Linked DNA regions of Oryctolagus cuniculus. The protein of the gene in region 1 interacts with the protein of each later gene in a pairwise test. Links are inferred from orthologs where the notes say so. Each region holds a gene or a part of one and is shown in the gene's direction. Other genes may lie near its edges. The genes, in order: CARD9, DUSP13B, MEOX2, KIAA0408, CDCA7L, USP15 and CWF19L2.

Region 1 (2,781 bases):
GGTCAGGAGCCGGGCCTGGGACCCCACTGCCCGGCCTGGGGTGGGCCTGGGACCCCATTGTCCAGCCTGGGGTGGGCCTGGGACCCCACTGCCCCGCCTGGGGTGGGCCTGGGGGGCAGGGGCCAGGAGCCGGGCCTCGGACCCCACTGCCCCGCCTGGGGTGGGCCTGGAGGCAGGGGCCAGGAGCCGGGCCTGGGACCCCACTTCCCGGCCTGGGGTGGGCCTGGAGGCAGGGGCCAGGAGCCGGGCCTGGGACCCCACTGCCTGGCCTGGGGTGGGCCTGGGGGGCAGGGGCCAGGAGCCGGGCCTGGGACCCCACTGCCCGGCCTGGGGTGGGCCTGGAGGCAGGGGCCAGGAGCCGGGCCTGGGACCCCACTGCCTGGCCTGGGGTGGGCCTGGGACCCCATTGTCCAGCCTGGGGTGGGCCTGGGACCCCACTGCCCGGCCTGGGGTGGGCCTGGGGGGCAGGGGCCAGGAGCCGGGCCTGGGACCCCACTGCCCGGCCTGGGGTGGGCCTGGAGGCAGGGGCCAGGAGCCGGGCCTGGGACCCCACTGCCTGGCCTGGGGTGGGCCTGGGACCCCACTGTCCAGCCTGGGGTGGGCCTGGGACCAAATTGCCCGGCCTGGGGTGGGCCTTGGGGGCAGGGGCCAGGAGCCGGGCCTGGGACCCCACTGCCTGGCCTGGGGGTGGGGGCTGCAGGCCTGGGACCCCACTGCCTGGCGTGGGGGTGGGGGCTGCAGGCCTGGGACCCCACTGCCTGGCCTGGGGTGGGCCTGGGGGGCAGGGGTCAGGAGCCGGGCCTGGAACCCCACTGCCTGGCCTGGGGGTGGGGGCTGCAGGCCTGGGACCCCACTGCCTGGCGTGGGGGTGGGGGCTGCAGGCCTAGGACCCCGCTGCCCGGCCTGGGGTGGGCCTGGTGGGCAGGGGTCGAGGGCCACAGGCTGGGTGCCCCACTGCCCGGCTTGGGGTGGGCCTTGGGGGCAGGGGCCAGGAGCCGGGCCTGGGACCCCACTGCCTGGCCTGGGGGGTGGGGGCTGCAGGCCTGGGACCCCACTGCCTGGCCTGGGTGGACTTGGGGGGACAGGGGCTATGAACCAGGCATGGGACCCCGTTGCCCAGTCTGGGGGGTGGGGAATGCAGGCCTAGGACCCCGCTGCCCGGCCTGGGGTGGGCCTGGTGGGCAGGGGTCGAGGGCCACAGGCTGGTTGCCCCACTGCCTGGCTTGGGGGACGGCGGGGGCCGCAAGCCATGCTGGGGACCCTTCTGCCCGGCCCGGGGGTGGGGAACGCAGGCCTGGGGCCCGGCTGCTGGCCCGGGGGCGGGCTGACCGGCAGCCGCGTGCAGGTGGACGGGCTCCGGCACAGCCTCCTGCGGGCGGAGGAGGACTGCACGGTGGAGCGCAAGCACACGCTGCGGCTGCGGCGCGCCATGGAGCAGCGGCCGAGCCAGGAGCTGCTGTGGGAGCTGCAGCAGCAGAAGGCCCAGCTGGAGGCGCGCGTGCAGGACCTGGAGGCCGCGGCGCAGGTGGGGGCGCCGGGCGCCGGGCGGGCGGGGGCGGGTGGGCGCCGGGCGCCGGGCGGGCGGGGGCGGGCGGGGGCGGAGCCGCGCGGGACGGCCGCTCTGTGTCCAGCAGGGGACGCGGGAGCGGAGCAGCCCCTACGTCCAGGTGCTGGAGGAGGAGTGGCGGCAGGTGCTGCGTGACCACCAGGAGCAGGCCGGCACCGTCTTCTCCCTGCGCAAGGAGCTGCGCCAGGCCGAGGCCCTCCGCGCCCGGGTAGGAGGCGGGGCCCTGGGGGCCGGGCGCCCTCCCCGCGGGGCGCTGAGCGGCCGTCCCCACAGTGCGCGGAGGAGAAGGAGGTGTTGGACCTGCAGTGCCAGGCCCTGCGCAAGGACGCCCGGCTCTACAAGGAGCGCATGGAGGCCGTGCTGCAGCAGATGGAGGAGGTGGCCCTGGAGCGGGACCAGGTGTGTGGGGGCCCAGTGCCCTCCCCGCTCTCGGGGTCTCCCTCGGTGCGCCCCTCGGCCACGATGCACCCTCAGGGAGCTGCTCTAACACAGAAACCAGCACCTGGGGGGGGGGCCCTGGGGGCGGAGGAGGACTTGCACACACACACACACACACACAAAGAAGAAGAGCGGCCGGGACTCGGAGGCAGGCAGCGGCAGGGCTGGTAGGCGGGACCTCTGGCTGCCTCTGGGTGGCCCAATAGGGACAAAAATGGATCAAGTCCCGGCCGCGGGGGCGCTGATGGGCCCAGACTCTGCCCTGCCCCTGCCCGTGGCCCTGTTCCCTCTGTGTGTCGGTGTCCCACGGCTGGCCGGCCCCCAGTGGGGACAGGCGGGCGTCTCACACAGCACAGACCATCATGCTCCTTGTTTTTGAGATTTTATCTCTTTGAGAGGTAGAGAGAGAGAGAGAGGTAGAGAGGTCTTCCATCTGCTGGTTCACTGCCCAGATGGCCGCAATGGCCAGAGCTGCATTGATCCGAAGCCAGGAGCCTCCTCCAGGTCTCCCACGCGGGTGCAGGGCCCAAGGCCTTGGTCCATCCTCCACTGCTTTCCCAGGCCACATCACAGAGCTGGATCGCAAGTGGAGCAGCCGGGACAAGAACCGGCGCCCATGTGGGATGCCGCCCTGCAGGCTTTAACCGCTGCGCCACAGTGCCAGTTCTTAAGCTTTGCTTATTTGCGGGCAGTGGCAGCTCTTCCATCTGGTTCGCCCCCACTGCCTGCAACACCCGGGGCTGGGCCAGGCTGAGGCCAGCCCCAGGGGCTCCGTC
Region 2 (3,931 bases), on another chromosome or scaffold:
TGACAGGCTACAGTTCCGGTCCCTTTTTAACGCCCAGAGCCCTTCGACACTCTTGCTTTTCATGCATTCCCTCACTAGCTATTTGCTGAGGATCTGCTGTATGCTGGGCCCTGAGCTGAATTCCGGGAGTCTAGACTTGAAGCCCTGCCCCACGGAATACGCCATCACGCATCGGGGGGAAGGACAGTCAGAGGTGAAGCAGCACAACGGTTATTCCTGTGTAGGGATAAGTTTGACAAGTGCTCCTTCCCCCCCCCCCCATCCCTCGAGATGTATTTTATTTGAAAAGCAAAGTGACAGAGAGAGAGGGAGAGCCAGAGAGAGAGAGAGAAAGGGGGGGGGGGGGGGATCGTCCATCTGCTGAACTACTCGCCAAATGGCTGCAATGGCCTAGACTGTACGAGGCGAATTCAGGAGCCTGGAACTCCATCCAGGTCTCCAAGGTGGGTGATGGGTCCAAGTACTTGGGCCATCTTCTGCTGCCTTCCTAGGCACATTAGCAGGGAGCTGGATTGGAACTGGAGCAGCCAGGACTTGAACTGGCGCCCTGACATGGGATGCTGCCATCACAGGCAGTGGTTTAACTCACTGTGCCACAGCGCCAGCCCCAGAGGCACGTTTGAAGGGCAGGTGTATGCTCAAGCAGAGAATCGTTCATGGAGACCCATGCAAAAAGTGATGATCTGCTCTGTGATTCAAGCGACACTTTGAGTAGCCCAGTAGACCTGTGGGAGGAAGCCAGGTCTCAGGTGACATCTGAGGGATGGAGAAACAGCAGAGCAGGGTCAGTGGGCATGTTTTCCAGGTGGTTGGAATGGCATGTGGTCAGCTGAGCTGTCCAAGGAACTGGAAGTCGCCTCCCCATCCTACAGCTGAGGGTGGCTAGGACCGTGGGGGCCTCTGAGGTAAGGCTGCCGAGCTCCTAAAGGGCCATGCGAGGAAGTTGGACTGCATGGCACAGCAGGTGTCAGTCTACCCATCTGACAGATCAGAAAAGTAAAGCCCACAAAGGTCGACTGACTTGTCTGGGTTCACAGGTGTGCACCCAAGGCAAAGCTGGGAAAAGAAACCCAGCCTCGGGGGGCAGCTGGCAGGAAAGGGTCTTTCACCAGATGTCTCCCTCAGCCAAGGTCCTGGTGCACTGTGTGGTGGGCGTGAGCCGTTCTGCCACGCTCGTCCTGGCCTACCTCATGCTGTGCCAGCGGCTCTCCCTGCGCCAGGCCGTGATCACCGTGAGGGAACATCGATGGGTCTTCCCCAACCGAGGCTTCCTCCATCAGCTCTGCCAGCTGGACCAGAAGCTGCGGGGTGCCGGCCGCAGCTGAGGAACCAGGTGAGGAGTGGCTGGGGCAAAGCTGGGGCTGTTGACATCGAGGTGGCAGGTGAGAGCTTGGGCAGGTAGTATAGACCAGGACAGCACTGGGGCCTGGATGGGAAAGGCCAGGTGAGGGGCTGGGCAGGGGACCTGGGCGGCGGTGCTCAGGGCAGTGTGTGGCTGCCAGTGAGGGTGTGAGGGGGCTGGTCCATACCCCAAGTTGCTGGCTCCCCTTACCCACCCAAAGCCTCACCAGGGCCCAGCCTAGGCAGCCTGTCCCATCTCTCCCAGCCCGACCCGTACTCTTGAGAGAACACAAAAGGAAGGAAAGGTATAGGCGGTGCAAGATGGAAGTGGTAAGGCTTCCCACCTCTCCTGGGGCTGTCTGCCCTGCCTGGGCACCGAGCCTGGGGGCTCCCTCACATCCCCTCCAGCCAGCAGCTCTGCCAGCTGCATGGCCTGCACCTCTACAACCTGTCCCCCACCCCCACCCCCAGTCACAGCTCCAGGGAAAGCACATTCTGGGCTCTGCTGAGCGTCACCCAGCCCAGCCCCACCATTCCCACGAGCAGGTTCCCAAATGTGCTGCTGCCATTGCTGTGTGTCCAGTGCTGGGCAGCAACAGCAGGGGTCCTGAAGTCACACAAGGGGAGTGGGCCCCCTAGAGCTCCTCTCCCAAGCCCTTGCTAGGCACAATGTCTCCTCTTCCCAGATGCTGGGTGGGACAAGCTGAGCTTCCCCAGCAGGAACCCCGCTTCTCAGGTACCCAGCCCACCGATGGTCACAGAGGTCCTGCTGCTTGTTTCTCTAGAATCAGTCCCAGGTGGGAGGCAGCAAGGGTGTCTGTTCTTGGGGTGGAGACCCCAGGATTTTACGGAAGTTACTGCATGCCCAGCACCCACTGACATGGAGGGACTGCCAGCTGCAGGTGGCTGATTGGCCTGGGCACCCCCAGGAGCTACAGGGCACTGCTTTCTGCTCTGCCCCAGGGCTCCCCAGACAAGGCCTGAATCCTTCCCTGGCTTGTTTGTTTCTCTGAATACATGGCCCGTGCGGCAGCCCAGCCAGCTGAAGGGGAGACCCGCAGGCATCACAGAGGCCTTTCCATAGGCCGGCTGGAGGATGAGCATCTTGGAGAGGAGGGTTAGGGAAGGACTGGGTGAGTGTGACAGGAGAGACAGGGTTACAGCTAGGGTGGAGATTAGGTCTAAGGCCACGCTGGTGAGGAAGTGTCACATGGAGCTCTGAGTGTGGGGGCAGAGGGAGAGGCGGACATGCTCTCCCATGGGAATGGCATGGTCCCAGCCTGCTCTCTTCAAGACAGGTTTCGGAAGCCTAGCAGAGCAGCAGTCTCTGATAATGCCCAATTAACCTTCCCCAGCTGGGGGCCCTTAAACATCCTCACCTCTGACCTTAGCATCTTTCCCTTCAAGCTGGCGGCTTCCAGGAAGTCACCTGGGAAGGGTGGCAGCGTAACAAAATTCACGGGGGAGCCATCCACCAAACTGTCTTTGCAAATGGAGCCCCCAGGAGTTGTGCAGTGCACAGCCTGTGCAGCCACACAGCCTGTGCAGGACGGAGGAGCTGTGAGGTTTCTCTCTAGGCCTGCTTCATCTCTCCCGGAACCTGCACCTACTCCACCTCACACAGCTCTTGGCCCTGCCCCAACAAGTCCTAGCCAAGGTATCCCGTGGTACACCTGCCTATAATACAGAGCTCTTCTCTCTCCCAGCGTCCAGCCTTACTTCCTGTCCCGAGGCTCTGCCACTTGGCCACCCTGGTCTTGGCCCTACTGCTGTCGCTGGAGGCCCTGATCCAGGTGGATGCCTGTAAGACAGTAAGAGCCCAGCGTGGGATCCGCCCTCGAGCCGTCTGCTTCTTCCTGTTGCCTGCACCGCTTGTCAGCCACAGTCTTCAGTCCCCACAGGTGGGAGTGGGCCACCCTCTCAGCGGCCCCCCAAAGTTCCAGGAACCCGAGTCCGCGGGAGGAGAGGGGCAGGAGAAGAGAGAGGGAGGGGAGTCTAAGCCTTCATGCCAGCCCGTGGCCACGGCTGCTCCCTCTTCCACCGCCCCAGACCTCGGGGAGCAGAGAGGGGAAGGACCCGGCTGGGCTTGGCACTGACCGTGCCGTGGACCAGTGGACACACTGGGAGTGGCCGGGGCGGGGGGGAAGCAGGGAATAGACAGCATGCTTTACAGTTCATCTCAAATCAAAAAATAGAAACAGCATCAAGTGTGCAGAGACAGGCGGCTGGAAGCCGGCACCGCAAACTGCCTGTCAGAGGAGAGCACAGCCTGCGCCGGGTACCCCCCCAGGTGGGTGAGTGCTGTTTTGGAGATGGGTGCGTGCTGGGAAATGAGGGCCAGGGCTCCTGTTGGGCAGGGCTGGGCGCTGGGTTGGGGGACCCAATAAGGTCAGAGATCGGAGTATAAACAAACCACAGGAGAATCCAAAGGACCAGGCTTGAAAGCTGGTTGCCACTCCTATTGGCTGTGTGGCCCTGGGTACAGTGCTTAACCTAAGTCTGTTTGCTCACCTGTAAAGTGGGGATGATGGTGTCATCGGCTCTGTAAGGGTTCCATGGGGACTCAGGGAGAACATGTGGGTGGCCTAGC
Region 3 (2,841 bases), on another chromosome or scaffold:
AGACATGGAGGTATTTCATAGAATAGAATAATGGGCTATTAGCTTTTTTAAAAACAAAATTCATTTTTCTATGAGAAAGAGAGAGAGAGAGGCCTTCCATACACTGGTTCACTCCTCAAATGCCAGCACTTTCCAGGTGCAGAAGCAGGGAGTGAATTGGACACAGAGCAGCCAGGACTCCTAGTGTTCCAACATGGGACACGGTGGTGTCGCAGGCAGCAGTCTAACCCACTGAGCCACAACACCAGCTCTGGATCCTAAACTCTTAAAAGTTGCTTCACTTCATTAGAAAACAGGAAAGACAAAATAAAAGCACATAGAGATAACATTTATTGTCATCGTGTTGGAAAAAAAAGTCGAACCTGGTAAATCCAAATGCTGGCATAGATGTGGGTTACTTGAACTTTTATGCCCTGGAATGAATAGGGAAACTAAGCTGATAAAACCTTGGAAAACAGTTTTTCACATTAGTGTGTTAAGATGAATGTGCACATAACATTCAACCCATTGATGAAGCTCCTGGCTACATAACCAGGTATGTCCCTTCCCATGCTTATCAGGGCACCAGTACAAGAGCAGAGCCAAATACCTTGGAGACATCTTGAATGATAAGTCCTTTCTTGTCTACTTTTTATTGTTGTGATTTTTAATTTTAAATCCCCAAGGAAAAAAAAAACTGGGAGGTAATACTACAATGAATTCCCTTTGTTGTAAAATATGAAGGGTAACCATCTGCATGCATCTTCTGAATGTTTATAAATTATCATCATGAATACCAACCTGATTTAACTCAGGATGGATTTATTTTTGTATTTACGCCTCCTACATGGTGTCTTCGTGTAAGCCTTTGAGAATCTGTTCCTCCTAGGTAGGCCAAAAGGAGAAAGCACTCGAATTTAATGTTCTGTTTTGCTTTGTGTGTTCTCTTTCTTTGTCCAAGGTCAAAGTGTGGTTCCAGAACAGGCGGATGAAGTGGAAGAGGGTAAAAGGGGGCCAGCAGGGCGCTGCCGCCCGAGAAAAGGAACTGGTGAACGTGAAGAAAGGAACCCTGCTCCCTTCAGAGCTGTCGGGGATCGGTGCGGCCACACTCCAGCAAACAGGGGACTCTCTGGCCAACGAAGACAGCCACGACAGCGACCACAGCTCAGAGCATGCACACTTATGATCCACACAGACAGGACCAGCTCCATTCTCAGGAAAGAAGCGTCGTGATGGCAAGCCTTACCCAACAGCGTTTACACAGAGAGATGGCCATGGCCGTGATTTTTAATATTATTAAATTCAGGCATCGTGTTTCTGTTTTGCATGATTTATAGAGGGTTTACACTAAGTGCCAATTATCCAAGATGCTTCCATGATGAAGATCAGAAGGTGAATTTGCTTCGAATATTCCAGAGATATTTGGTTGTGTGTATGACAGTGAGCAGGTATGTTTGCTTTTGCTTGCACTGAAAAATTAAATGGCTACCAAGAGCAAATTATGACACATTTCTACACAAGATGCCTCCAGAGTGAAGACATTGAAGATGAACTTGCTTTAAACATTCCAGATGTACGAGTTCATGTTTATGACTGTGGGCAGGTATTTGCTTTTGCTTGCACTGAGAAATTGCTATCAAGAATAAAACATAAAACCTTTTATCCTGAACAGCCAAAGTGCCTGAGATCACTCAAGTGGATTTTTAAAAAGGATGTATTTTAACTCTGTATATATTATCCTTAAGTCATTTTCCTGTCTTCACTAATTTTAGCAATACATTCATATTAGCTGATGAAAATAGGCACTGATAATGCCAACCAGGCCAGCTTCCTGCCTTTTTATGCATTTGTCATTCCGAGACAGTCCGTATGTGCTTACTTGTGTACAAGTAGAGAAAAATACAGTAGAGTCTGATACGACATATTCTTGTACCACAGACAAAACAAATCTTATGTTGCATTTACTATCAACTGCTGCTAATACATTATTATACAACTTACCTAGCTCCTCCTCGATTTTTCCTATCTTGTAGCTTGAAAAAAAAAATAGGACCATAGGCAAATCAGTTACTTTGTGGAAAGAGCTTTTTTGAGGCAGACACTGTCTGATTTTATTTCTGTAAAATTTTAGCTGTTATGAATATGACTTAATTAACAAGAAAATGTTTCTTCCTTCTTAGCAATGGTGTCAGAAAAGGAGCAAAGCCAAATGGGCTCCCCAAGGAGATAGACAAAACAATTCTGAATATCTTCAAATTAAATTCAGTAAAAACACGTTATTTTTAATATGTGATGTATTCTTGCAGAACAACCATCTTTGTATTTTGTAAAAAATGTTTAATAAATGATCCTTTGTAAATAATTTTGGTCTACCCATTGTGATTTCCTTAATTTCTACAGATTTTAATATTCATATCTAAGAGAGCCCCAGACTCATCTGCTCTTGTGCTAATTCACATCCAGATCATTAATGAATCACAGGTTTTCATTTGTAGATTTATTATGGCAAGAAAAAAAAAATCAATCCTTGGGTGATCAAAGAGAATCTAAACATCATCATACTGTAAACCATTTTCTTAATTTGAAGAATATGGCAAATGAATGTCTTTGCATGCTTTACAAATCAAAGATAAAAGTAAGGGAAAAGGTAACATTATTCACCACAATGAATAAGTAAAGTAGTCATATATTTTAAAATGTATGTTTAACATATGTGAATCGATGCAGTAGTTGCTCTAAAGTCACACTATCCAGAGTCCTTGATGTTACTATGAGCTAAATAGCAAATCAGAATCTTCATTGGAATGGACACCACAGGTATCAGAAGTCAATTATTATATTAACTTAAAACATTTTGTGTCA
Region 4 (3,500 bases), on another chromosome or scaffold:
GTCTTCCCTTGTGTCTCAGGAATCCCTGGCAGTGAAGGCCTTCCCTGGAAAAGGGTTTTCTCGACCTGCTAGACCAGCAAATCGCCGCCTCCCATCCAGATGGGCATCCAGATCACCGTCAGCACCCCCAGCCTTACGGAGAACTGCCAACAGTTGCACCATTTCTCTTCAATCTGAAGCAAAGATGGTCTAAGTCTCTGGCCTGGATTGTTAGATTACAAAAGCTCTAGTCCCAGTGGCCAAACAGCATTATGAGTGTTTACAGACAGTCCTGTTTTCTACTGTATCTTTCAAGATCACTGGGAGGAGTAATTTAAATCTTAACCTTCCATCAGTCTTCAGTGTTTTTAATCTGTGGAACAGTTATCTTCCTGTGTTTTGATTTCTTAGACCAGAATTTTTAATGTCACCCTCATCAATTTCCCAATATGATTTCAGTTGAAACAATGTGTACAGATATTGTATATTCTTTCTTGCAAGTGGCAGAAAGCAAGGTTATGTGCATGACCATTTGTTTGTAGGTGCATGTGTTGTCATAGGAAGTATCCTAGTATGTGTTTAGATAACAAAACCGTATGTGCTAGTGTTCACTTTGAAATTATAACATGTATGCCTATATATTCTTTGTGTTTATTTAAAAGTTTTGAAAATATACAGTACTGTTTATATTTTGTAGACCTTTTAATAGGTATCCACTTAAGTTATTTGAGGTATACATATATTAATTAACCACTTCTATGGCTGTCAACTTTATTGAAAAATAATCATTATACACACGTCTAACACTGGTAGTTTTCTAAATACGAGTCATAGTTGCTTAATCCATGTGAGGATGAACTAACAATATTGATCTCCTTTTTTAATCTTTCAAGTAAGTATGTCACAAACCTAACAGATCGACCTTCTGAAATAGCATAAATATTCATAAAAGCTTTTATGTATCATTTGGTAGTCTAGTTTGGCTCTGACAATGTATTGATCCTCAGAGCTGGTTTCATGAGACTGCCTTATAAATGACATGACGAAATAATTTATTTTGTCAATCTCAGTGACAAATATTCCTTAAAGGGGATGCAAACAGAAATTAAACTATGTTGAAGTTCTGCTTTTTGTTAAAATTGTGGTAAGCTTTTAGTTTTGTTGCTTTATCTAGAGTTATACATGACTAGAGGTAAGTTGTTCATTTTTTCCTTTTTCTAAACTTTTCCCTAACATTAAGAGATAAAAGACTAATTCACTGTTTTTACTAACAAGGAAAGCAGGAATAATATTTCACTGAGCGCTGAACTGTAATATACTTCTTATAGTGTGCTACAAAAAAAAAAGCCTTAAACTAAACTTTGGCATCCATTGTAGCATAAGAATCAGAAATGTATATTTTGGCATTTTCTACAATTTAAATACAGTGAACACCTAAGATCCATGTTCTCACTGATATAAATAAGAATGATGAGGTGCTTGGAATTCTACACAGAAGATTTTAGAGGCAACTTTGCTCTTCACTGTCTATATAATACAAAAATAATTATGTTTTATTATTATCAGTAATTCTATGTAATTTTTATTTTACTGCCAGAAAAGGTTAAGAATTTCTTATTCCAAATGTATTCAAAGAGCCTTCTCTTTATTCTGACCATTTAGAGAATCTCACTTCATTCTATACCATGCCCAAAGGTAAAGTAAACAATTATAAAATAGCAAACTGCCTTAAAAGGCTAAAGACTGCAGCATGGTGATGGCCAGATTCATACTTTACCACAAGGTGACCTTCTATTGTGAAGCTAAAATAATCTTCTAGGATAAGATTTTGGATTGGATGGTAAGTAAAGGCTATCAATCCACAAGTAATCTAGAAATCAATTGAAATCACTGTCATTATATGCTTTTAAAGCAGAGGGGTGAAAACACTGGGAAGGTGGTATTCTGGGTAATAAAAAGATGGACCTGTTAGGAAAATGTTGCTGCAGTGGTGCCAAGACACCATCCATCACTGTATTCCAGGCAGTTTTGTATGATCTGTGGCTCCTACCTTTACCTACAAGTCAGAATATTGAGGATTTCTTTTAAAAATGAAATTATTGCTCTTGTTGCATAATTACTAATGCAAAATTTCAAAGGGTAGGAACTAGGACTCTCTTAAAACAAAGCAAAATACTTGATGACCAGGATGATTTGCAAGAAATAACACTGATATCTGAATGAAAAGATAACCTTGGGTAATCTCTTTCCTTCCCTGGGACTTGCCATTCCTACCTGTAAATTAGAAGAGTTATATTGTCAGGCTTCCTAGTTTTAAGCCACTAACCACTTGAATGAGCCAGTGGGACACATTTTAATATCTTATGATGACAAATCAGAATATTAGCCCTAAAACATTTAGTATCTAGTCCAACCCCTTGGTTATACAACTGAAGAAATTAAATCAGCTTACTTGAATGTTCTGCTTTTTATTTAACATGTTTTATAAATTTTTATGGAAAAATCTATCGGGTAAATGGAAGTTATCCTTGGAAAATATTTTTTGATGTATTGTGATTTTTAACTGGTCGTTTTTCTACTTTGGATGGACATTTTCTTCCCAACAACATATCCTTCATTGTGACACCATTTTTGGATTTAAATATTGGAGTAGAAACTCTTATAATGATAGATGTGTTCCTTAGAAGGCATTTGGGGGTTGGGAGTCTTACATTATTTCAACAGGAGATTATTGGCTAATCTCAGAAAGGAATAACAATGAGGCAGAGAAGAGTCCTGTGTGAGTGTATGTATGTGCCTGTCTGTGCCATCCTAACTTAAGCTCTTTCTGTTGCCCTTATGTCCCTAACACAAAAAATATAAATGATGCTTTGTATAGTTCACTTTCTCAAAACTTACCATGAGTTTTATTGACTTTTATTTAGACAATGAGAATGATCATTTTTCATTTTACAGATTTTTCCATAAAACATAATTCACTTCTACACAGATTGATTTTTACAAGGCTCCTTGTCATCCTGAGGAAACACCTCAACCTTCAAGATTATCTGCTTCCTTAAAAAGATCTTTAGAATTATTTTAGGCACATTTGCTGATAATGAAATCTCCTTCACTCATTGGAAGCTATTAAATAAAATAAGTGTGGAAATACCTGCTGTGGCATTTTTATGCATTCAGAAATTCTGTTTTTTCCTCAAAGTTGAGAGTCTTATGTGTAAATTCAAATACGTACACAGTTTAATCTAGCCTTCCCAAAAATGTCTCTAAACAGTAGAATCTGAGCTAAATCTGCCTGACTTTCTGCTCCTGGCCACATCTAACCCCGTATGAATATAGTTTCTCACACACTGACATTCTGTCTCCTATCTGTGTCCAGGTAGCATCTGATAGAGTTGATTAATATGGTTTTTTGAAAAGTGCATTCACTTTTGAAAATTTCCATTTGCATGATTGTTTACAATCATGATTACCCATCTTATCCAGAATATGTGTTCCTTCAAAAAAATGGACTTCATAAAGCA
Region 5 (3,500 bases), on another chromosome or scaffold:
TTACCCACTACACCAGAGCACCGGCCCCTATTTTATTTATTTTGAAAGGCAGAGTAACAGAGAGAGAGGGGGACACAGAGAGATCTTCTGTCCATTCGTTCACTCCCCAAATGGCCACAACGCATGGGGCTGGGCCAGGCTGAAACCAGGAACCTGGAACTCTACAGGCCTCCCACATGGGTGGCAGGGGCCCAGGCACGTGAGGTCCTCTGCTGCCTTCTCAGATGCCTCTGGAATTTGCCACTCTCATCTCTTCCCTCCCTTCCCTCCACCGTCCCCCCCCCCCCCCCCAGCTGTAAGGTCTTGGCTGCAGCACCTGCTCAGGGTGCCCAGGGCCTTCTGGGTAATCATGGCTCAGGGTGCCCAGGGCCTTCTGGGTAACCATGGCCCACGGGGGAAAGTCAGGAGTTGGACAGTCCCAGTCCTGACGCGATTGTAACAGTGCCCGGTTTTCCTCTTCTGACCCCAAAACAGATCCCTAAGGAGGTGGCTGACATCTTCAACGCCCCCAGCGACGAGGAGGAGGAGGAGTTCCTGGGCTTTGCAGATGAGGTTCCCATGGAAACCCTCTCGCCAGAGGGGAGCCGTGATAGCTTTGACTCCCTGGCGTCCCCGGCGCAGGTAGGATGCTGCTTCCTCCCCAGGCCTGAGCCTGGGGGCCGAGACGCCTCGGTTTGTGCGTGGCTTGCGGTCACTGAGGCCGCTTAGCCGGTGGGCGTCCCATCGCCAAAACTTTGCGCCTCTTGGTTTCTTCCCGCCCATGGTATTATTGTTGTTGTTGTTGTTATTAATAGAGAACCCTCATGTGATCAGATCTTTGCTCTGCTCCCTGCTGTATTCAGAACCCCCCCACCATGGCTGGCAGGGAGTGGGCCCCGCCTTTGCCGTGGCCGCCCGCGGGGTGCAGCAGGTGCTCCTGCCTCTTTGCAGCTGCTGGGCCAGTGTCATTCTCGGATCGCTTTGATCTGTAGCAAGCACAAGTTACAGTTCTGCCGGGGCTCACTTCCTGGAGGTTTGTCTCGTGCCGCAGCCATCAGAATACCTCCCTTTCCGCGGTGTTTCTGTGCCTTGCCACTGCCCTGACCGCGGCCGCTGTGTGGAGGCCCACCCTGGCTGCTGCTGGCCGCAGCAGGAAGGGAAGCAGTTAGTGTGATGAGGGGAAGGGGCTGCCTGACTGCTTGTTGGTGACCCTGGCCTCGTCTCGTCTCTAAGTGCAGATGCTAGGATCCGCCTCCAGAGCCTGGCCCATCTCTAAGTGCAGATGCTAGGATCCGTCTCCAGAGCCTGGCCCATCTCCTAAGTGCAGATGCTAGGAGTCTGTCTCCAGACCCTGGCCCATCTCCTAAGTGCAGATGCTAGGATCCGTCTCCAGACCCTGGCCCATCTCCTAAGTGCAGATGCTAGGAGTCTGTCTCCAGACCCTGGCCCGTCTCTAAGTGCAGATGCTAGGATCCATCTCCAGAACCTGGCCCATCTCTAAGTGCAGATGCTAAGATCCATCTCCAGACCCTGGCCCTGGCCACGGCCCCAGGCCCCCTGCATCCCACTCTGCCGCTGCTCTTCCCGCATACCTCGGCTCTTGCTCCTGCCACAGTGCCTCTCTGCGGCCCGCTGGGGGAGCCTGCTCCTGTGTGCAGAGGGACCTGCCTGCCCCGTCCTCTGTCTGCCAGCTGGCCAGCTGGCTTTCCTGGTTCCCCGTCTTTAGCTCCATCTTTCACTGCCCTTGATCCATCCTTCCTCCTCGTCCTCCTCCTCCTGTCTTGGCGATTCCCATCCGGGGGGGAGGAAACTTCTGCCGTGTTTCGCACACTGATGCCTTCCCCCACTTCGCTCTGCATCTGCTGGAGCCCTCGTCCTTCCCACCAGGGTCCCGTGTAGGCCTGGGCTCTGGCCACGCCCCCTCTCCTGCCAATCGTCTTCAGAGCAGGTCAGGCAGCAGGGGGGGTGGAGCCTGGGGCATGGACCCTGGGGGCCTTCGGAGCCAGCAGAGAACCTGGCCTGCCCTGGGCCTTAAGAGACAGAGCAGCTGTTGGGAGACTGCTGACTTGGTCACACGTGCCCTTTATGGTGCCCAGTGTGACCGCAGCACCCTCAGCCGGCCTATGGCAGTGTGCATGGGGAGCAGGGAGCCCGGCCAGGGTTGGAGGCCAGCGTGCAGCGAGGCTGGCCGCAGGAGAGCTTCGCCTCTGTGGGGAAAGGAAGATAAATGACAGCGCAGGCTTGGGTTTAGGACAACTGCTGAGTTTTTCTCCCGTGTCGATCAGGCCAGCAAAGATGTTGATTCCTCCCGGGCTGCCGGCTGCCTGCTGAGGCCAGCACTGAGCACAGCGGGAGCTAGGAGGACTGGGAGATCGGGGCTCCCTGCTGTTCCGGGGCCCCTGGCATTCAGTGGTCCGCTCTGGGTGGTTAATGCAGTTTCCATACAGACCCCATTGCCCTGCAGGTACCTGGCGACTTTAGCCAGGGCCGGGCCCTGAGTCCACACCCTCACGCTGTGTTCTCACAGCTCAGAGCCGCTGCAGGGACTTGGAGATGGTGCCCACCCTGGGCTCCCCGACCACACTTTGAATCTCACGTTACAGAAACTTCCCTTTTGTGGGTGCATCCCCCCCCCCAAAAAAAAAACAGCTGCACCACTGCTATCAATAAAGGAACAGAGTAATCTAGAATGGAGCAAACTCTTGCAGTTACCCACAGTCATTCATAAGAGACATTTTCAAGCTTAAAAAACGGTACATCTGGCCGGCGCCGTGGCTCACTAGGCTAATCTTCTGCCTTGCGGCGCCGGCACACCAGGTTCTAGTCCTGGTCGGGGCACCGGATTCTGTCCCGGTTGCCCCTCTTCCAGGCCAGCTCTCTGCTGTGGCCAGGGAGTGCAGTGGAGGATGGCCCAGGTGCTTGGGCCCTGCACCCCATGGGAGACCAGGAAAAGCACCTGGCTCCTGCCATCGGATCAGCGCTGTGTGCCAGCCGCAGCGACCATTGGAGGGAGAACCAACGGCAAAGGAAGACCTTTCTCTCTGTCTCTCTCTCTCTCATTGTCCACTCTGCCTGTCAAAAAAAAAAAAAAAAAAGGTACATCCAGGGCAGGAGGCACGAGGACCCCGGCTGGAGCCCTGGGGAGTGGTTGTGGGCTTGCAGGGGGCCACTCTGGGGGGGCTTCCCCAAAGTCTGCAGGTTTTCCTCTGCTTTCTTTGGAGCACTCTTAGGAGAGCTGGGTTTCCTCCTTTGTGGTATTGCAGAAGAAAGGAGTTACAGGGAGGGAGGCGAGAGACAGAGATCCATCTTCCACCCACTGGTTCACACCCAGTATGGGGTGCCGGCACTGCAGGCGGCGGCTTAACCTGTTACACCACGACGCGGGCCGCACAAAGATTTTTCCTTTCTTTTTAAAGGTTTATTCACTTATTTGTAAGGTACCATTACAGAAAGAGGGAGAGAGAGAGAATCTTTGATCTGCTGGTTTACTCTTCAAATGGCTGCAATGGCTGGGGCTGGGC
Region 6 (3,500 bases), on another chromosome or scaffold:
GATCCCTACACTGCTGTAAGGACCAAAACATTAATGGGAATGGCCCAAATGGCATACATGAGGAAGGCTCACCAAGTAAGACTTTCCTGTTAACTTATAAAAATCTTTTCACTAAGATTATTGCCTCAGAGAAAAACATATGAAGATGAACATTAATGAACTTAAAAATATTTGCAAAAAACTTAAAATTGGAACATTGGGTTTCTTTTTAAATTTGTAATATCTAAAATAGGTGAAATGGAAACAGATGAGCCAGATGATGAGTCCAGCCAGGATCAAGAACTTCCCTCAGAGAATGAAAACAGTCAGTCTGAAGATTCAGTTGGAGGAGATAATGATTCTGAAAATGGATTATGTACTGAAGATACTTGCAAAGGTCAACTCACGGGACACAAAAAACGATTGTTTACATTCCAGTTCAACAACTTAGGCAATACTGATATCAACTACATCAAAGATGATACCAGGCATATAAGATTTGATGATCGGCAGCTTAGGCTAGACGGTAAGTATTTCTGAAAAATTACTTAGAGATGATTTTTTTTCAGTGAAAAAGCCACGAAATTCATGCCTGTCATGAAAAATGCATTGTCTAAACTGTTAAACGAGGCCGGCGCCGTGGCTCAATAGGCTAATCCTCCACCTTGCGGCGCCGGCACACCGGGTTCTAGTCCCGGTCGGGGCGCCGGATTCTGTCCCGGTTGCCCCTCTTCCAGGCCAGCCCTCTGCTATGGCCAGGAGTGCAGTGGAGGATGGCCCAGGTGCTTGGGCCCTGCACCCCATGGGAGACCAGGAAAAGCACCTGGATCCTGGCTCCTGCCATCGGATCAGCGTGGTGCGCCGGCTGCAGCGGCGGCCATTGGAGGGTGAACCAATGGTAAAAGGAAGACCTTTCTCTCTCTGTCTCTCTCTCTCACTGTCCACTCTGCCTGTCAAAAAAAAAAAAAAAATAAAAATAAAAATAAAAAAATAAAAAATAAAAAAATAAACTGTTAAACGAAAGGCCTTCTTATCTAAGTAAAATGCATGTCAGTGTTTCTTAAATGGAAATTGAACTCATGCTTAAGTTTTTATCTTTTTTTAAACTCTGAAAATATTTCAGTAGCTCAGTAGCTTGGAAACAGCTATTTGCCTTAATCACCCAGTGCTAGTGTTATTAGAAAAGATTGCTGTTATTTACTATGACACATATCCTAACATTAAGATATACTAATTTTAACACCAAGTAATAGTAAATTTAAAGAAAAAATATTTTTTCACCTTAGAAAGATCTTTTCTTGCTTTGGATTGGGATCCTGAATTGAAAAAAAGATATTTTGATGAAAATGCTGCTGAGGTAAGTCATTACTCACTCCTTCTTACCTCTTTATTTTATTTTGATTACCATAGCTAATCATATTGTTTTACTATATTCACTTAGTTCTATCTACCAAATATGTTTATTTTACCATTAAGAAAAATCATGAAATACAAAAGGCTTTGCAAAAAGATCTTTTTTTCTTAAGGTACAGAGTTGGTTTTGAACATGGATTCTGTTGACATGTTTCAGTCATCCAGATAGTTATACACAGGAGTTATTTAGATCTGTGGAATAAATCTAAGTTGACCTAAGATTTATAATTCTTTTGAGAAAGTTTAGGAGTTTTCATTATTATTCATAGTAAGATGGTATCACTAAAATGAGTTTTGTTTCATTTGTTCTCTTAACTCAAGAAATACTTCTCTTTAGGATTTCGAAAAACATGAAAGTGTGGAATATAAACCTCCTAAAAAACCCTTTGTGAAATTAAAAGATTGCATTGAGCTTTTTACAACAAAAGAAAAGCTAGGTGCTGAAGATCCCTGGTAAGAGGCAGAGTTGAATATTTGTTTCTAATCATTTTTCTTAAATATTTTAAATTATAAGCATTTCTTTATAATAAGCTATAGTGTATAAAGAGAGATGGTTATACCTTTAAAAGTGTTATTACAGAGTTAAGCTTTAATCTCATTACTATATCTTTCATAATAGCCATTTACTATTAATAATTAGTTTTAGTAGCCGGTGCCGTGGCTCGCTTAGCTAATCCTCCGCCTGCAGTGCTGGCACCCTGGGTTCTAGTGCCAGTTGGGGCGCCGGATTCTGTCCCAGTTTCTCCTCTTCCAGTCCAGCTCTCTGCTTTGGCCCGGGAAGGCAGTGGAGGATGGCCCAAGTGCTTGGGCCCTGCACCCACATCAGATGGGGAGTGGGTATCTGGTTCCTGGCTTTGGATCGGCGCAGTGCGCCGGCCATGGCATCTATTTGGGCGGTGAACCAGCGGATGGAGGACCTTTCTCTCTGTCTCTCTCTCTCTCACTGTCTAACTCTGCCTGTCAAAAAAAATTAGTTTTAGTTACTTTTTTCCAAGAATTTTTAGCTTTGTAATCATTTTTGAAAGTTTTTAGGAAAATTACGCTATACTACAATATTTCAAAAAATTCATGGAAATCATATCATGAAAAAATAATTGGCTTGGACTTCAGAATTCAGAAGGAAGGGACCAAAATAAACTTGTCTTTAATTCCATTTTCTGTGACTTTTTAAAATATCCTTGCATTTTTTGGTATTATTTTCTTAGTGCCCAGAAGTTTTAAAGTTTTCTAGTGTCTGTATTTTAGCACAGATTTGTAATACATACATATCTTTTTAACAAGCATACTAAAAGGTAAATAGTCTAGCCCTCATAATTTCTTTGAATATTTATTTGCATATTAGTTATATTTAAACCCGTTTGGAAAGCATATTGAAGATAAAAATGTTAACAGGAGTTGATTTCAGCCTAATACCTATTTAGCATATGCTAATTGCTTACCAAAAAAATACAGAACTTTTCAAACATTTTTTTCATCTGTTGTTCTCTTTAATAAGTACTGTTTGTTTGTACCTCTATCAAACTTTAAATATTTCTTTTCATTTTTTAGGTATTGTCCAAACTGTAAAGAACATCAGCAAGCAACAAAGAAATTGGATTTATGGTCCCTGCCTCCAGTACTTGTGGTACATCTCAAGCGATTTTCTTACAGTCGATACATGAGAGACAAGTTAGATACTTTAGTTGATTTTCCTATCAAGTAAGTTTTGATTGTACTTCATAAATATTGAACAACTCTGTTTTCAAACTTACTCAATGTTTTTTGTTATCTTTTAGAAAACATCAGGCACTATTGGATCCAGTTTCTATTTTTTTAGTTTTTTAGTAGTTATAACAATTAGCAAGGACCAGTATCTCTTAGAGACTTTCCAAATACCAAATTAAAAAAATATACTTTTTCAGGCCAGGGCTGTGGTGAAGCGAGTTAAGCCTCTGCCTACAGCACCAGCATCCCATATGGACGCCAGTTCATGTCCCAGCTGTTCCACTTCCTATCAAGCTCCCTGCTAATGTGCCTGGGAAAGCCCTGGAAGATGGCCTAAGTCCTTGGGCCCCTGTACCCACGTGGGAGACCTGGAAGAAGCTTATGGCTCCTGGCTCCTGGCTTCA
Region 7 (3,500 bases), about 140 Mb from region 1:
CAGTTGTCTTTCTTGTTGTAGGCTAAAGCTAACTTTGAAAAGGAAGAAAGGCGTAAAGAACTTAAACGACTTCGGGGTGAGGATACATGGATGCTACCGGATGTAAATGAACGAATTGAACAATTCTCAAAGGTCAGTACTGTCTTTTGTCTTTTTTTGCACTTATTATTTAAGTTAACATTGGAAGAAAAATTTTATAGAAATTTTTGTAAGTTACAGAATGAATATAACAGAGTTGGCACTACTGGATAGTTTTATTGCTTAGGTAGAAGTAATGTGTAGTATTTTGGATATTATGACATTGAAAGATTTTTGTTCCTAGAGTTGGCTGGTAGCAGTTTTAACTCCAAATTTCTGGCTCACTTGTGGCAAGTTTGTGGATTTAAGAAATTGTGCATCTTGGGGGCTGGTGCTGTGGTGCAGCGGGTTAACACCCTGGCTTGTAGCGCTGGCATCCTATATGGGTACCGGTTCTAGTCCCGGCTGCTCTTCTTCCGATCCAGCTCTCTGCTATGGCCTGGGAAAGCAGTGGAAGATGGCCCAAATCCTTGGACCCCTGCACTCGTGTGGGAGACCCAGAAGAAGCTCCTGGTTCCTGGCTTCGGATTGGCACAGCTCTGGCCGTTGTGGCCATCTGCGGAGTGAACCATCAGATGGAAGACCTCTCTCTCTCTCCCTGCCTCTCCTCTCTCTGTGTGTAGTTCATACCTTCAAATAAATAAATAAATCTTTAAAAAAAAGAAATTATGCATTTTAACCTTTGTACCTTTATTTATTTTTCTAGGTCTCAAGCTTTGTTTTTTTTTCCTACAATTTTTTTTTTTTTTTTAGGATTTATTTATTTATTTGAAAGAGTTATGGAGAGAGAAGGGGAAACAGAGAGCGAGAGATCTTTTATCTGCTGCTTTACTCCTCAAATGGCTGCCACAACCAGGGCTTGGCCAGGCCAAAACCTGGCTGAAGCAGGTGGCTAGTTAACCTGCTGGGAACAGCGCTGATCTCTCCTACATTATTTTATTCTTTATGTGACAAATAATTGTGCATGTTTGTGGGGCATACTATAATGACTTTATTTACATTATATGTTTTAGAAAGATTGAATGAAACAACATATACATTACCTTTCCAATTTACTATTGTTTTGTGGTGAGAATGTTAAAATCTATTCTTATAGCAATTTTGAAATATACTATAGATTGTTATTAACTGTAGTCACCATGAAATATGATAGGTCACTAAAAAGTATTCTTTCAGTCTAACTGAAACTTTATACCCTTTTATTAATATCTCTTCCTTTCTCATTCCTCCTCCCCAGCCTCTTCCAACAATTTTAATTCAAGCTATCTTGTTATGTTTTTTATGACCTCATAATGTTGTATGAGTTTTTTTTGTACCATTGAAAGTTACTCTGTGTGTGTAGATGTATGCCTATATGTTTGATTATATCTGTATGACACATGAATATAAAAATAAATTAAAACCAAACTTTTCCTTATAATTTTTCTGTTAAAAAATCTTAGCTATGGGGCTGGTGCTGTGGCGTGGTAGGTAAAGCTGCTACTTGTGGTGCTGACATCCCATATGGGCACTGGTTTAAGTCTTGGCTGCTCACTTCCTATCCAGCTCCCTGCTAATGAGCCTGGGATAGCAGAGGAAGATGGCCGAAGTCCTTAGGTCCCCGCACCCATGTGGGAGACCTGGAAAAAGCTCCTGGCTCCTGGCTTAGGCCTGGCCCAGTCCTGACTGTTGTGGCCATCTAGGGAGTGAACCAGTGGATGGACGATTCTCTATATCTGCCTCTCAGTAACTCTGCCTTTCAAATAAATAAACAAATCTTTAAAAATTCTTAGTCATATGGTTTGTGAGTAGTACATATGCTATTGAAGGTATTTTAAAGGAAGATTTATGTATTTATTTATTTGAAAAGCAGAGTATCAAGGAGAGATTGAGTGATCTGTCTCTATACACTGGTTTACTCCCCAAATGGCTGCAACATCCAGGATTGAGCTTGGCTGAAGCCATCAGCCAGGAACTCTAATGGGTCTTCTACACAGGTGGGTGTCAGGAGTCTAACCATTTGGGCCATCATTGACTGCCTTCCCAGGTGCATTAGCAGGGAGGTGGACTGGAAGCAAGAGAGCTGGGATTCCACCTGGCCTTCTAATGTGGGATGCCAGTCACAGGATCTGGCTTAACCTGCTGTGCCACAACCCTGGCCACTATAGAAAATATCTTAAAGCTTCTTGGAATATTTTATTTATTTGGTGATATTGTTCCTCTCATGAAAGATTTATAAAGCTTTTGGAACATAAATTTTTTTTCTCTAAAAATGGTTCCTTTTAAGGAAGATAAAACTAGGTTGCTTTTTTAACCTGTTGAAAATAATTATTTATAGGAACACTCTGTGAAGAGAAAGAAAAAAAAAGACAAGCATTCAAAAAAAGTAAAGAAAGAGAAGAAAAAAAAGAGCAAGAAAGAGAAATATGAGAAGAGCAAGGAGTCATCTGATAGTTCATCTGTAAGTATATACTAAAATTAACTAAAGCAGCTATTTGTCAGAAAGTTTTTTTGAAGGAATTGTGTATTGAAACTTAAAGCATATGAAGACCTTAAGAAAGTATGACACGAAAATGTCTGGGAGACGTGGACTTGGAGAAGGCCAGAAAATATTGAAAATGTGAACCTTGGATTCCAAAAAACAGAAAACAGGAATATGATTTGGGAAACATTGCTAGTTGGAGCCATTAGAATGGATTAAATACTTAGGGAAACTAAAGGTGAAAACTAGCACTGGAGAGCCAAAAAAGGAAGTAAAGAAGGCTGTGTGTTGGAAAATTAGAAGGAAAAGCAGGAAAGAGAGGTATTATAAACATAAGGGAAAAGAGACTTAAGAGTCTGTTACCTTTGTTTGGTCTTTTCATAGATAATAACATCTCAGGCTTTGAAATAGGATGTGTTTATATATTTACCTTTGGGGGCCAAAGGATGAGAGTGCTTAGTTAGCTGTGTCTCTAGCTGGTTCAGGATGAGAAGACTTAGGAAAATAAAGTAGGCCAAATCCTTTGTGTATGTTTTCAGGGAACAGAGGTTGTGCTTATCGAGTGACAAGCTAGAGATATTTAGGGATAAATGGTCTGCCATGTATGATCTTCATAGGGTTTTCTTCCAAGTTGAATTGCCATAATCTACAATATGGACCACATAGTTTCAGAAACTAAGTTTTTGCCAGCATGTTGTTAAAGGGAAACATAGCTGGGTATTAGTTAAACTTTTGAAAGTAGATTTTAGTCAGTAATTACAAATAGCAGAGGAAATTGCTGAGCTCAATTTCAACTTGTACAGAGATGTTTGGGCATTTGAAAGGGAAAATAAGGAAATGTGGAGAGCAAGGGCTCAATACAACAACAAAAGTGGATAATTCCAAAGGGTTGGACAGTGTAAATTTGATTAGGCCAATTGTGTTTGCTAGCTGGTAATTTTTTTTTTTTTAAGATTTATTT

Evidence for each region.
Region 2: the proteins of CARD9 (region 1) and DUSP13B interact in binary tests that used the Homo sapiens proteins (3 or more experiments, as listed by UniProt). The two-hybrid records come from large-scale screens. The link is inferred for Oryctolagus cuniculus from reciprocal best matches to the Homo sapiens genes CARD9 and DUSP13B.
Region 3: the proteins of CARD9 (region 1) and MEOX2 interact in binary tests that used the Homo sapiens proteins (3 or more experiments, as listed by UniProt). The two-hybrid records come from large-scale screens. The link is inferred for Oryctolagus cuniculus from reciprocal best matches to the Homo sapiens genes CARD9 and MEOX2.
Region 4: the proteins of CARD9 (region 1) and KIAA0408 interact in a two-hybrid assay, tested with the Homo sapiens proteins (2 studies listed by BioGRID and IntAct). The two-hybrid records come from large-scale screens. The link is inferred for Oryctolagus cuniculus from reciprocal best matches to the Homo sapiens genes CARD9 and KIAA0408.
Region 5: the proteins of CARD9 (region 1) and CDCA7L interact in binary tests that used the Homo sapiens proteins (3 or more experiments, as listed by UniProt). The link is inferred for Oryctolagus cuniculus from reciprocal best matches to the Homo sapiens genes CARD9 and CDCA7L.
Region 6: the proteins of CARD9 (region 1) and USP15 interact in binary tests that used the Homo sapiens proteins (3 or more experiments, as listed by UniProt). The two-hybrid records come from large-scale screens. The link is inferred for Oryctolagus cuniculus from reciprocal best matches to the Homo sapiens genes CARD9 and USP15.
Region 7: the proteins of CARD9 (region 1) and CWF19L2 interact in binary tests that used the Homo sapiens proteins (3 or more experiments, as listed by UniProt). The two-hybrid records come from large-scale screens. The link is inferred for Oryctolagus cuniculus from reciprocal best matches to the Homo sapiens genes CARD9 and CWF19L2.

Annotation. Positions count from the first base shown.
Region 1 is NC_091432.1:236,667,521-236,670,301, forward strand, and holds part of CARD9 (caspase recruitment domain-containing protein 9), read left to right. Parts: intron 1-1,345; coding exon 1,346-1,525; intron 1,526-1,631; coding exon 1,632-1,775; coding exon of another isoform or gene 1,776-1,840; coding exon 1,841-1,966; intron 1,967-2,781. UniProt on the Homo sapiens protein: Adapter protein that plays a key role in innate immune response against fungi by forming signaling complexes downstream of C-type lectin receptors.
Region 2 is NC_091446.1:66,157,306-66,161,236, reverse strand, and holds the start of DUSP13B (dual specificity protein phosphatase 13B), read left to right. Parts: upstream 1-1,131; 5' UTR 1,132-1,187; coding exon of another isoform or gene 1,188-1,246; coding exon 1,247-1,333; exon of another isoform or gene 1,334-1,426; intron 1,427-3,047; coding exon 3,048-3,242; intron 3,243-3,536; coding exon 3,537-3,631; exon of another isoform or gene 3,632-3,635; intron 3,636-3,852; coding exon of another isoform or gene 3,853-3,931. Other genes in the region: SAMD8 (sphingomyelin synthase-related protein 1), read right to left, coding at 590-725, 3,853-3,917. UniProt on the Homo sapiens protein: Dual specificity phosphatase that dephosphorylates MAPK8/JNK and MAPK14/p38, but not MAPK1/ERK2, in vitro. Exhibits intrinsic phosphatase activity towards both phospho-seryl/threonyl and -tyrosyl residues, with similar specific activities in vitro.
Region 3 is NC_091447.1:7,213,695-7,216,535, reverse strand, and holds the end of MEOX2 (homeobox protein MOX-2), read left to right. Parts: intron 1-940; coding exon 941-1,165; 3' UTR 1,166-2,341; downstream 2,342-2,841. UniProt on the Homo sapiens protein: Mesodermal transcription factor that plays a key role in somitogenesis and somitogenesis and limb muscle differentiation. Required during limb development for normal appendicular muscle formation and for the normal regulation of myogenic genes.
Region 4 is NC_091436.1:42,226,768-42,230,267, forward strand, and holds the end of KIAA0408 (uncharacterized protein KIAA0408 homolog), read left to right. Parts: intron 1-19; coding exon 20-193; 3' UTR 194-3,129; downstream 3,130-3,500.
Region 5 is NC_091447.1:13,939,636-13,943,135, reverse strand, and holds part of CDCA7L (cell division cycle-associated 7-like protein), read left to right. Parts: intron 1-474; coding exon 475-621; intron 622-3,500. UniProt on the Homo sapiens protein: Plays a role in transcriptional regulation as a repressor that inhibits monoamine oxidase A (MAOA) activity and gene expression by binding to the promoter.
Region 6 is NC_091442.1:64,682,102-64,685,601, forward strand, and holds part of USP15 (ubiquitin carboxyl-terminal hydrolase 15), read left to right. Parts: coding exon 1-75; intron 76-232; coding exon 233-505; intron 506-1,265; coding exon 1,266-1,336; intron 1,337-1,713; exon of another isoform or gene 1,714-1,729; coding exon 1,730-1,845; intron 1,846-2,940; coding exon 2,941-3,090; intron 3,091-3,500. UniProt on the Homo sapiens protein: Hydrolase that removes conjugated ubiquitin from target proteins and regulates various pathways such as the TGF-beta receptor signaling, NF-kappa-B and RNF41/NRDP1-PRKN pathways.
Region 7 is NC_091432.1:99,252,735-99,256,234, reverse strand, and holds part of CWF19L2 (CWF19-like protein 2), read left to right. Parts: intron 1-21; coding exon 22-132; intron 133-2,395; coding exon 2,396-2,518; intron 2,519-3,500.